2 linked regions of the Drosophila melanogaster genome follow. The protein of the gene in region 1 interacts with the protein of each later gene in a biochemical or structural test. Each region holds a gene or a part of one and is shown in the gene's direction. Other genes may lie near its edges.

Region 1 (5,833 bases):
GAACCGCACTTCCGGTATCCAAAGCGCACACACCACGTGCGCCCACTGCCCGTGGTCCGTCTGCTTGAATGCGCCGCCCGCATTGGGACAGAGCACACAGTTCACAGGCTTACTGGGTGACTGCAAGCATCGGCGGCACAGCCACTGGCCCTCCGGGATATAGGGGACACCGTAGCAGTCCTGGTGTACCGCCAGGTTGCACATGTCGCAGAAAAGTATCACGTTGGTGTTTTGGCACTCGCCGTCGAGGCAAATGCAGCAGACTGCGTCGTCGTCCACCTCGACGCCTGTGGGTGTGCCGTTGGCCGCCGCCTGGAAGTGCGACTCCTTCTCCAGCCGGTCCATCAGCAGCTCCATCGTGTCGATGCCCACGGCGTTCAGGCCGAGTCGCTGGCGCTCCTCGTTCATGTGCTCCAGCCAGGCGGAGTCCTCCTCGTCAACGTCGTACTCCACCTCCCCGTCCAGCTCCTCCAGGGACTTTTCGATGAAGCGATAGTAGGCCAGCGGCCGTGGCGGGGCGTCGGACACTCGGTAGTCCGGAATCTCGGCCACCCTGGCCACGGGCACCTGGACCCTTGCCCAGGGCGCGTTCTCCTCCAGCGGTGGTGCGTCGGCATTCAGAATACAGCCCCTGGCCACTAGGGCGGCGAACTCTTCGTCCTCTACGAGCGGCAAGGCGTCGTCGATGCCCAGGCGCACGCTCTTCCCGTCCAAGTTAAACGTCACCGTGGCCTCCTCCTCGTTGTAGGACACCAGTGACTCTGGATTGGCGTACTGCCGGGCGCTGACTCCGCTCGCCGATCCACCTCCTGCGCTGGCCGAGGAGCAGCCGTTTCTGGCCTCAGCTCCACCGCCACCCGGCGTGGGGTGATCCTTGTGCGGACGAGGCGTGGAGTGGTGGCCGCCGGAGCGTGAGCGCGCCTTCTTGCGGCTCGGAGTCAGCACGGGCGTGAGCGGCTGTGGGTTGTCGTGGTCGTACTTCATAAGATGGTATTGCAGACCCATGATGGTCTTGTAGCTGCGGTCGCAGCCGCGGACGGGACAGGCGAAAGGCGGCTGGGACTGCTGGGTCTTCACCCCTTTGCAGTATTCCACTGCGTCGAAGTCGAGGCCCATGATCTGGATCTGCGGCGCGATCTGTGGATCTGCTGCAGCTGGCTTCTCGGGGTTTGGCGGTTCGCTGGTCGCGGATCGCGGGCACTGTGTCTACTCCGCGGCACGGCTGCGCATACGTATGTGCATCCCACGGTGGTCGTCGCAGAGCGCGCGGTTTTGGCTGTCCACCGTTCCTGGTCGATTTTCGTTGGCTTGTTGCAAATTTTTTAACAAATGTGCTAGAGATGGGCTTGCTGGTCAGCTCGCCATGGCGATACTATCGTCGGAAGTGCTTGTGCAGCACTGGACGTTTGCTGAAACTTGTTTGAAATATTTCCGGTCCTTTACGCAAATTAATTCTCTTCCGTAATCTATATTTATAATTTAAATGTTCCTTTTTGTTCTTTCCCTTACCATTTTCCCTCAAATTTGTTTACAATATGTTTTTTGGGGAGCCGTGCAGCACTGCTTTCTAGAGATGGTAGTGGCGGGAACGTATTGGAACTGGTTCACCTAATGTTATACTTTCAAAATTTACAGGGCTAGAAATCCAGTACGTAACTATTTAAATAACCCAATAATATTATTTTAAAGAATTCAAATAAATATCTCCCAATATTCACTCAAAAAACAAGTTTTGGTTGTGTTTTTCATTTTGCGCGGGAACTTTATCGCCCGTGCAGTGTTGGAAAGCAGAGGCATAAATGCGCCTTACAGCACCCGACGAGCTGTTAACTGTCAACAGTGCACAATTAAAGGCATGTTATCAAATGCTGACGCGCGTCGCAATTGCCGCCATTTGAAAAAAACGATAAAATCGAAGGAACCGAATCCGGATTTGCAGTTTGTCAGATACAGTCGCTAGATATGGAGGACATCTTGGGCGTGCTGGGCTCGCTTTCGGACCTGCGCAGGGAGCTCGAGGTCCTGCGCAAGGTAAGCCAGGATCAGGAGACGAAATTCCGACACTGTCAACATGGCGTCATATGTGTTTTTTAGGCCCACTTTGAGGAGCTGGACCACCTCTTCTACGGCACAGGCCAGCCGGAGGCGGAGGCCAAACCGAGGGACAGTGCTCCGGCAGCGAAGAGTCAGGAGAACTCTTCGGTGACGCCGCAGCAAACGAAAAAGCGCCCCAAGCGACTCACCTCACTGGCCGAGGATCAGAATGAGCCCGAGGGTGAGTATCCTGGCCATTTTAAAGCATTAACGACCAACAACCCCTGTGATATTCCATTTGAGCAGCTCCAGACGCCACGGCCAACAACACGTCGGCCCGTCAAAGCACTCGGGTCAGCAACTCCCAGTTGCTGGCTATCGCCGAGGACGAGCACAACTCCACGGCCTCGCTGATGCCGCCTCCGCCTGTGCCCGTCTCGGCGGACACCACCCTCGGCTCCGGAAGGCCACAGCGAGCCGCTAAGCTGAAGACCGAGAAATTACTCAAGGAGCCCTCACTCAACCGTAAGATGCGGCGGCCCAGCAGCGAGGAGCTCGTAAAGGTCAAGGTTGAGAGCGAGCAGCGAGTCTCCCAGTTTAACAGCTTCACCAGTGCACAGGCGTTAGAGGAAAATAAACTAGCGGAGCCGGAACTAGAAGAGCCAGCAGCAGAAACAGCTGAGCAGCAAAAGCCTCCGGAGGAGGCCTCAGTCACAGAGGACGTGAACACCACGAAGACACTCCGCGTGAAGGTAAAGCGCGAGAAACTCAGTACCGAAGCAGTGCCCCCGTTAACCAATGCGGTCTCCACGGCAAATGTGACCACCGTCTCCTCTGTAACAACGGAGGCAGCGCGACCGGACGATACGGTGGCCAGCAACACGACGACATCCACGGAGGTCTCCAAGAAGGTCCGCAAGAAGAAGAAGGACGTGGAAAGCCACCGACCCATAAAGGTGGAACGATTCAGCGACCTGGACAAGAGCTCGCCAGTCTCGTCGCGCACGCGCAAGTGTAGCAGCGATTCGCGAACGGTTCAGGAGCGATCCATATACAAGGATGCACTCGAAGATCCGCCCGTTGCAGAGCAATCAGTGGCTGCAGTTGCTCCGGCTGCTGTCAATGAGACCGTGGCGATTTCCAACGCCACCCTCGTACTGGGTCCTGCGCCGACGAGCGATAGTCCAATAGGACCAGCTGGAGATGCCACTTTTGAGGTGCACTCCAACGACAAGAAACAACCTCTGAGTAAGCAGGACAGCCTCTTAACGGAGGACGAGTCGGTGGAGGAGAAGCTGCCGACGACCAAGCTGCTCTCGAGCATAAAGGCTATAAAACTGCCTACCCGTACACATGAGCTTTTCAAGTGAGTAGATACCCTGCCTCTTCATGCATGTTATCCTTCTAAACAATCTTTGCACTTCTACAGCCCACTGCTTCAGAGTCCAGTGAAAATGCGCGTGGAGGCGTTCGAGAATGCGGCAAACGCACAGAACAGCATGCGCCCTAAGCGGGGAAAAGATCTGGTAGGTACAGTATAGTTGCACATATATAGCAGGCAGATAGCAGGCAGAATTAGGCTAGACTATTCACCAGTTCTGTATCAATTGGCGCTTTCTAGAACTGTTTGATAGGTGATTCATTTATTGTTATTTTTTTTTACTCTTCAGCAGGGCACGCCAGGATCAAACAACACTCCCAAAATTGGCAAGCTGCCTGCTCCGACTGTTGGTCGCTTTTTCACACCGACTCAAACGACAAGCACACTACCATTAAGCTCGGCGCAGCCCAAGAAGGGACCTGCCAGCGCGTCTAAGGCCACTAGTCTGCTGAAGACGGCCACCGGTACGAACCTAAGGTCGGTCAATTCCACGTCCACAAAAACGCTGTCGCGCGAGAACAGCGGAGACGACTTCCGCAAGGGCCTGCACAATCTGGCGGAGGAGCGCAAGAAGCTGCGTGAGCAAAAGCACCAGCAGGCTGCCCAGCAGCGCGAAGCCAAGGAGCGGGAGCGGGCAGAGCGTATGGCCAAGCTGGCCGCCGAGCGCGCCAAGAAGCAGGAGGAGCGAAAGCGAATTGAAGAGCGCAAACGACAAGAGCTGGAGGAGCTGCAGCGGAAGATGCGCCAGCAAGAGGAAGCCGAGGCGCTCAAGAAGGCCAAGTTCAAGGAGCTGGAGCAGCAGAAACTGCAGCAGCTAACCGGCGCCAAGCCCAAGAAGATGCTTCCGCCGCCGCCGAAAACCAAGTACACCTGGGAGATGCTGCACGAAGACGACTCGACAGACGACGAGGGAAAGGTCACCCACAAGCGTCCCCCAGCGCCCACCTGGAGTCGAAGTAAGTTTGTGGATCATTTCGAAGAGTTATTTTCGAGATACCTTATTCATCGTAAATATATACAAGTAAATACACCAGATTACAGTCTGATTTCCATTGGGACTACTAAAGGAAATGTTCTTAAATATAGATTCTGACTTATGTGTTTATTTTCAGGCCACGTAAGGGGAGAGGCAATTGCTATGCAGAGCCACTGCCCAACCGACATCATCGACAGCTTTTTCTCGGTGGCGCCCACCACACCGGACCTAAAGCAGATATTCCCGAACATCGATCCCAGCCAGCTGAAGCGAAACTCCAGCGTGCTGTGGTCCACGCCGCCGCGCTATTCCGAGCTGCCGAAATACTAGCCAAGTAGTCCTGCTCTCTTCTCCCGTAAATGCACATGTTTATGATCGAATAAATAAAGTTAATTGTGAAAATTAAAGCGGAGTACCGCTGCGCGATTCACTGCGACTCTGACACTAATATCCAGCTGCTTTAGAACTATTAAAGCCGCCAGCGTGCTCAATTAATGGTTCGCTGGTGGCTGCTTGCCGATTCCATTAGCCAAGTTGCCCAACAATGGATACGTCGATTCGTGAAAAGTGTGAAAACGCAGAGGAGGCAAGTAAACGAAATAAAAGAAAACAAGCCCGGCAAACACAATTTCACTGGTCATGGGGCATGGTTTTGTGGCATGATGCGCAGACGATCGAAAAGACTGCCTCGATTCGATTCTCCTCCATCATGTTTCCATTGCTGCTAATCCCACTTTTCCAACGAGCCATTCTCATTTTCAATCGAAAGCCGAAATCAGCGGAATCGGCATGGGCAATTGGCACAGTAATTGCTGCTGATTAGAGTCGACTCCATGTGGAAGTCGCCGCGGATCCACCCATGAATATGATTCGATGGGACCATCTTAATCCGCAATCTAATTAAGGCGCGTACGCTCCCCAAATTGCCACTTTCAATTGTTACTGTTTCCGTTTAAGTGCACTCTGTTAGTAGCTCCACTTCCCCACGGACCCAAGTCGATTGGGGCTGAATCTATGTGAATTCCATGTGGCACATTGGATACTCTATCAAAAACTGTAAGGAAAGATAGTAACACATCTAAATGAATAAGCTCTAAAATTCCATCAAATGCCACTTTTGTGATCCATCAGTTTGCAATTCTTTAGAACTTTTGAAAGACCAACTTTTAGATTTTCCCATGTTGGTCTTCCACCTGATATTACAGCCTAACAGAGTTGCCATCAGCATGCCAAGTAAAAGAAACTTTTTGCAAAATACAGCATTTGCAGCTCCAAATCAAAAACCTATTTTGAAGAATCGAACTGAAGACTGGCTGCGTAGTCTTCCACTCGCGGGCACTCTTCCGAAGAGCGGCCAAGCGAGTTGCGGTTTCTCGTTTCTTCGGCTCTGCGCGAAGTCTTCGTGCTTCGCACGAGTCAGTTTGAGTCGAGCGTTCGAACGG
Region 2 (4,028 bases), on another chromosome or scaffold:
GGATACAATGAGGGATAGGCACTGGCGGTGCCGGTACTTGCTACACTCCCAGTCTTTGGACTGCCCTTGTTCTCCTTCAGCGACAATTCGATGGCCTTGGCGATGTCATCCTCTTCCTGCTGGCTGCTGACCACATTCGGATCTTTGGGCAGGGCGGCGGCCTTTTCGGCAACAGTCTTGCTAGTCTTATCGCCAAGATTCTTGAAATCATATCCCTCTTGGCGCAGCTTGGCATAGAGTGCGGGTATCAAGTCGAGCTCTCGATCGTTCTTATAGTCGTTTTCAGCCCAGTTCTTCAGCACTTGGCGCATTTTCTGTGAATCATAATTGGAATTAGAAATGAAATAAGTGAGTTAAAACTGTTTGTACTCACCAGTGAAACCTTTGGCTGTGCTTTGGCCAACAGGCGGCGGAACTCCGTCTCGAAATCCCGTGAAGCCACCTCCAAATGGAGCGGTTTTCCGCAGTTGTTGGACAGGGCGTCCAAAAGCGTAATCGCCTGCATCACCACATGAGGATCGGTGTGGCCCATGCGGCGCATCACCGCCTTCAGGCAATCCTTGGCCAGGCGGGGATTGGTCGTTACCTTGTCGCATACATCCAAAATCAGAGACCAGTTGTCGTTGGTATTAGTTTCGCTGGTGGCCTTTTCTATAAAACAAGAAAGGCATGAACCGCATTAGCTTATCAGTCAAATAGAAATTTATATTCTGAGTCACAGCAAAACAAAGATAAGCTTCTTCGAAAACTGATTGCAGCTAAAGAAAATCAATACAATCGGAAACTAACTAAATTGCATTAAGGGATGGCGAGGGGGTTGGCTGCGTAAACGGAGGGGGTGTGAGGGGCTGCGGGTGCTACGTCACTCAAGGTCAGCGACTGCCATCTAACAACTCCAATAAGAAGTTCAACGAACGACGCAGAGCTGCGCACAGCATCTCACATGACTTTCTTTGTTGTCTGCTCAATCGGGGGATCGGGTTCATAGGGAAAACAGGGGAAAATGGTGTGGTGTGCGGGTTTTTAGACCCCAGATAAGAATAGAAAACTATGAAACGCATATTGGACCGTTGTGCAGTCCAATTGGAACATCGGCTTGTCCAATCGGCCAACACAACAGCTTAACGATAAGTGGTAACTCACCCACGTCGGCGTCGAATGGCGACGACTGCCCAAAGATTCCCATCTTTATGACCAAACCGCTCGCTCGGCTATCTGCCAATAATCTGCGCTGCCCTGGGGTCAATAAATCCAAATCAGTTGATCTTTGTCTGTTTTCCCTATTGTTTTTCCTCTCCAATCGATTTTCGGTGCGTCACGGCGACTGAAAGCACGCTTTTGGTGTACTTCCTCCTGCGTAGACCTTTTCGCTTTTTTCCAAATCTCTTTTGGGCTGCTTATATCTTTTCGATTAGCCTAAAAACTTCCGAATAGCGCTTGCAAATTCGCTTAATTTACGTTTATTGTGTAAAAAATGACTAATGGCGAGTGTGGCCAGATTGCGAATAGTCGGGAAATCCAAAGGATTTTTTGCAGCTCATTTTCAATGGTTAGTTAGAGGTATTCGAGACTTATATTATGCAAAACATTTTTATTTATATATACATATAAATATTATTGATATTGTATATTTAAATAAATTTAGACAACTAATAATATAAATCTATTAAACATCTGATATGATTTGAGCACTGGTAGCTATGGTTTATAATAATTAAACAGTTTTCTATGCCCTTCACTCAAACTATTCTCCTACGGGTGAGAAGCGTATATTATAATAACTATGCACAATATAAGAACAAAACTAGAAGATTAATTTTTATTTAAGAAACATGAAAATATTTTATTATACGTTGACCGAATTTAAAAATACAGTGACTTAACTGCTTCACTGAGAGTCACAGAATAACTCGATTCTAGCATGCGGTCACACTAATCTCAGCATTCGAAAAAAACGCGCAAACAAAAGGGACGCTTATAGAAAATACAACTTAAAATAATTAATTTACTTAAAAATCATAATATTATAAACAAGTCAGCGCCATGACGCTTTCCCGCGCGAAGCACGCCAACCGCAACCACCTGCCGCACCTGCTGGCCAAGGTGCCCGAGGAGCACCAGGAGCCGATCAAGAATATGTGCCTCAAGATGATGTCCCACGACGCATACGGACAGCCGTACGTACAAGCAATAAGCTAATGTATCAATCCGTACTTAATCTGCTCCCTCCAGATACGATTGGAGTCCCCGGGACTTTGAGATGGGCGCCCACTTGGGACGCGGCAAATTTGGACGTGTCTACTTGGCGCGGGAGCGCCACTCGCACTATCTGGTGGCCATGAAGGTGATGTTCAAAGAGGAGCTGCGCAAGGGCTGCGTGCAGCGTCAGGTTCTACGCGAGATCGAGATCCAGTCGCGACTGAAGCACCCGCACATCCTGCGCCTGCTCACTTGGTTCCACGACGAGAGCCGCATCTATCTGGCCCTGGAAATTGCGTCCGAGGGCGAGCTGTTCAAGCACCTGCGTGGCGCACCCAATCATCGATTCGATGAACCGCGGTCTGCGAAGTACACCTACCAAGTGGCGAATGCCCTCAACTACTGTCACCTGAACAACGTGATCCATCGGGATCTGAAGCCGGAGAACATTCTGCTAACCAGCACGGACGACCTTAAGCTGGCCGACTTTGGTTGGTCGGCGCACACGCCGAACAACAAGCGCAGGACTCTGTGCGGCACCCTGGACTATCTGCCGCCGGAGATGGTGGATGGGAACTCCTACGACGACTCGGTGGACCAGTGGTGCCTGGGCATTCTGTGCTACGAGTTCGTCGTCGGCTGTCCGCCCTTCGAGTCGAACAGCACGGAGAGCACCTACAGCAAGATCCGGCGCATGGAGATCTCCTACCCATCGCATTTGTCCAAGGGCTGCAAGGAATTGATTGGCGGGGTGAGTTGGAAGATGTTTCCTTTGAGATCCATTTATTGAACAGGGATTTCATCTTTGCAGCTGCTTCGCAAGGAAAGCAAGGGCCGCATCACCTTGGTGGATGTGATGACCCATTATTGGGTGAAGGCGGGAATGGCCGAAAGGGAGCTGCAGCTGCAGAAACGGGAGCGCGGCAAGGAGAACACGGCCAGAAATTGACTGGTTTCGAGTTTGCATTGTGTAACGACTTATTTCAGATTTTACTTTTATGTTTAATAAACGGTTTATAAGATTTAATGAAGTTTGGAGTATATTTTTGAAATCTGAAAACTGCTTAAAAATAAAAATCTATTGGTAGTAACTTACTTAAATTACCTTTTTCTAATTTAACCCCTTTTAAATTAATTTTTCTAAGCCCATGCCTTACTTAGTTCCAGTTCGTGGGCCATGCTATATTTTCGCGCTTCCCGCAAACGGTCACCCTAAATAAATAAATGACAATTTCAAGCGTAAAATAAGCCCTAAAATTTCGATGAAACGCTCGATTTGTGAATCGTGCACCCAGCAGTGAGTGGGCAAAGTGCGGCAGCCGACGAGACCGCCACCAGGAGCCTCGTATCCCGCCCAGCAGTGGATCGGTGGTCGCCAGACGAGCCGAGGAACTACAGCAACAATTGTTATTTTTCGGCCCTCGATTTTCAGGGGGAGGGGGGCTAGGAACATCAGCCCCTTCGGTTTCTAATTGAATTAAATAGAAGGGGCGGAGAGGCAATATCACCCAGGTCAGTCCAACAAGACGCAGGCAGCAGAGCAATGGTTTTTATCCGAGATCCCTGTGGCATCGCCTGCTTGGTAGTCACCTACGGAGCAGTTCTGTACGCGGACTATGTGGTCATCCGTTGGATCATTCTGACCACCATGCCGGGCAGGTGAGTAATGCATACTGTACGCACCATGACGTCATTATATATATATCTACCCACTTGGCGACAGCCTCTGGATGTCCTTCCATGTGGTGCTCTTTAACACCGTCGTCTTCCTGTTGGCCATGTCCCACTCCAAGGCCGTGTTCTCCGATCCAGGCACTGTGCCGCTGCCC

What was found.
Region 2: the proteins of Incenp (region 1) and aurB form a complex in vitro, tested with the Drosophila melanogaster proteins (one study listed by BioGRID).

Annotation. Positions count from the first base shown.
Region 1 is NT_033778.4:7,276,767-7,282,599, forward strand, and holds Incenp (inner centromere protein), read left to right. Parts: upstream 1-1,839; 5' UTR 1,840-1,962; coding exon 1,963-2,031; intron 2,032-2,094; coding exon 2,095-2,275; intron 2,276-2,340; coding exon 2,341-3,400; intron 3,401-3,463; coding exon 3,464-3,560; intron 3,561-3,704; coding exon 3,705-4,371; intron 4,372-4,527; coding exon 4,528-4,721; 3' UTR 4,722-5,029; downstream 5,030-5,833. Other genes in the region: Br140 (Bromodomain-containing protein, 140kD), read right to left, coding at 1-1,116.
Region 2 is NT_033779.5:10,855,993-10,860,020, reverse strand, and holds aurB (aurora B), read left to right. Parts: upstream 1-1,926; 5' UTR 1,927-2,043; coding exon 2,044-2,177; intron 2,178-2,232; coding exon 2,233-2,950; intron 2,951-3,010; coding exon 3,011-3,148; 3' UTR 3,149-3,224; downstream 3,225-4,028. Other genes in the region: Stam (signal transducing adaptor molecule), read right to left, coding at 1-314, 374-651, 1,144-1,186; Dnz1 (DNZDHHC/NEW1 zinc finger protein 11), read left to right, coding at 3,743-3,858, 3,923-4,028. UniProt on the Drosophila melanogaster protein: Serine/threonine-protein kinase that mediates both meiotic and mitotic chromosome segregation. Required for histone H3 'Ser-10' phosphorylation. Phosphorylates mei-S332 within residues 124-126 and stabilizes its association with centromeres during meiosis.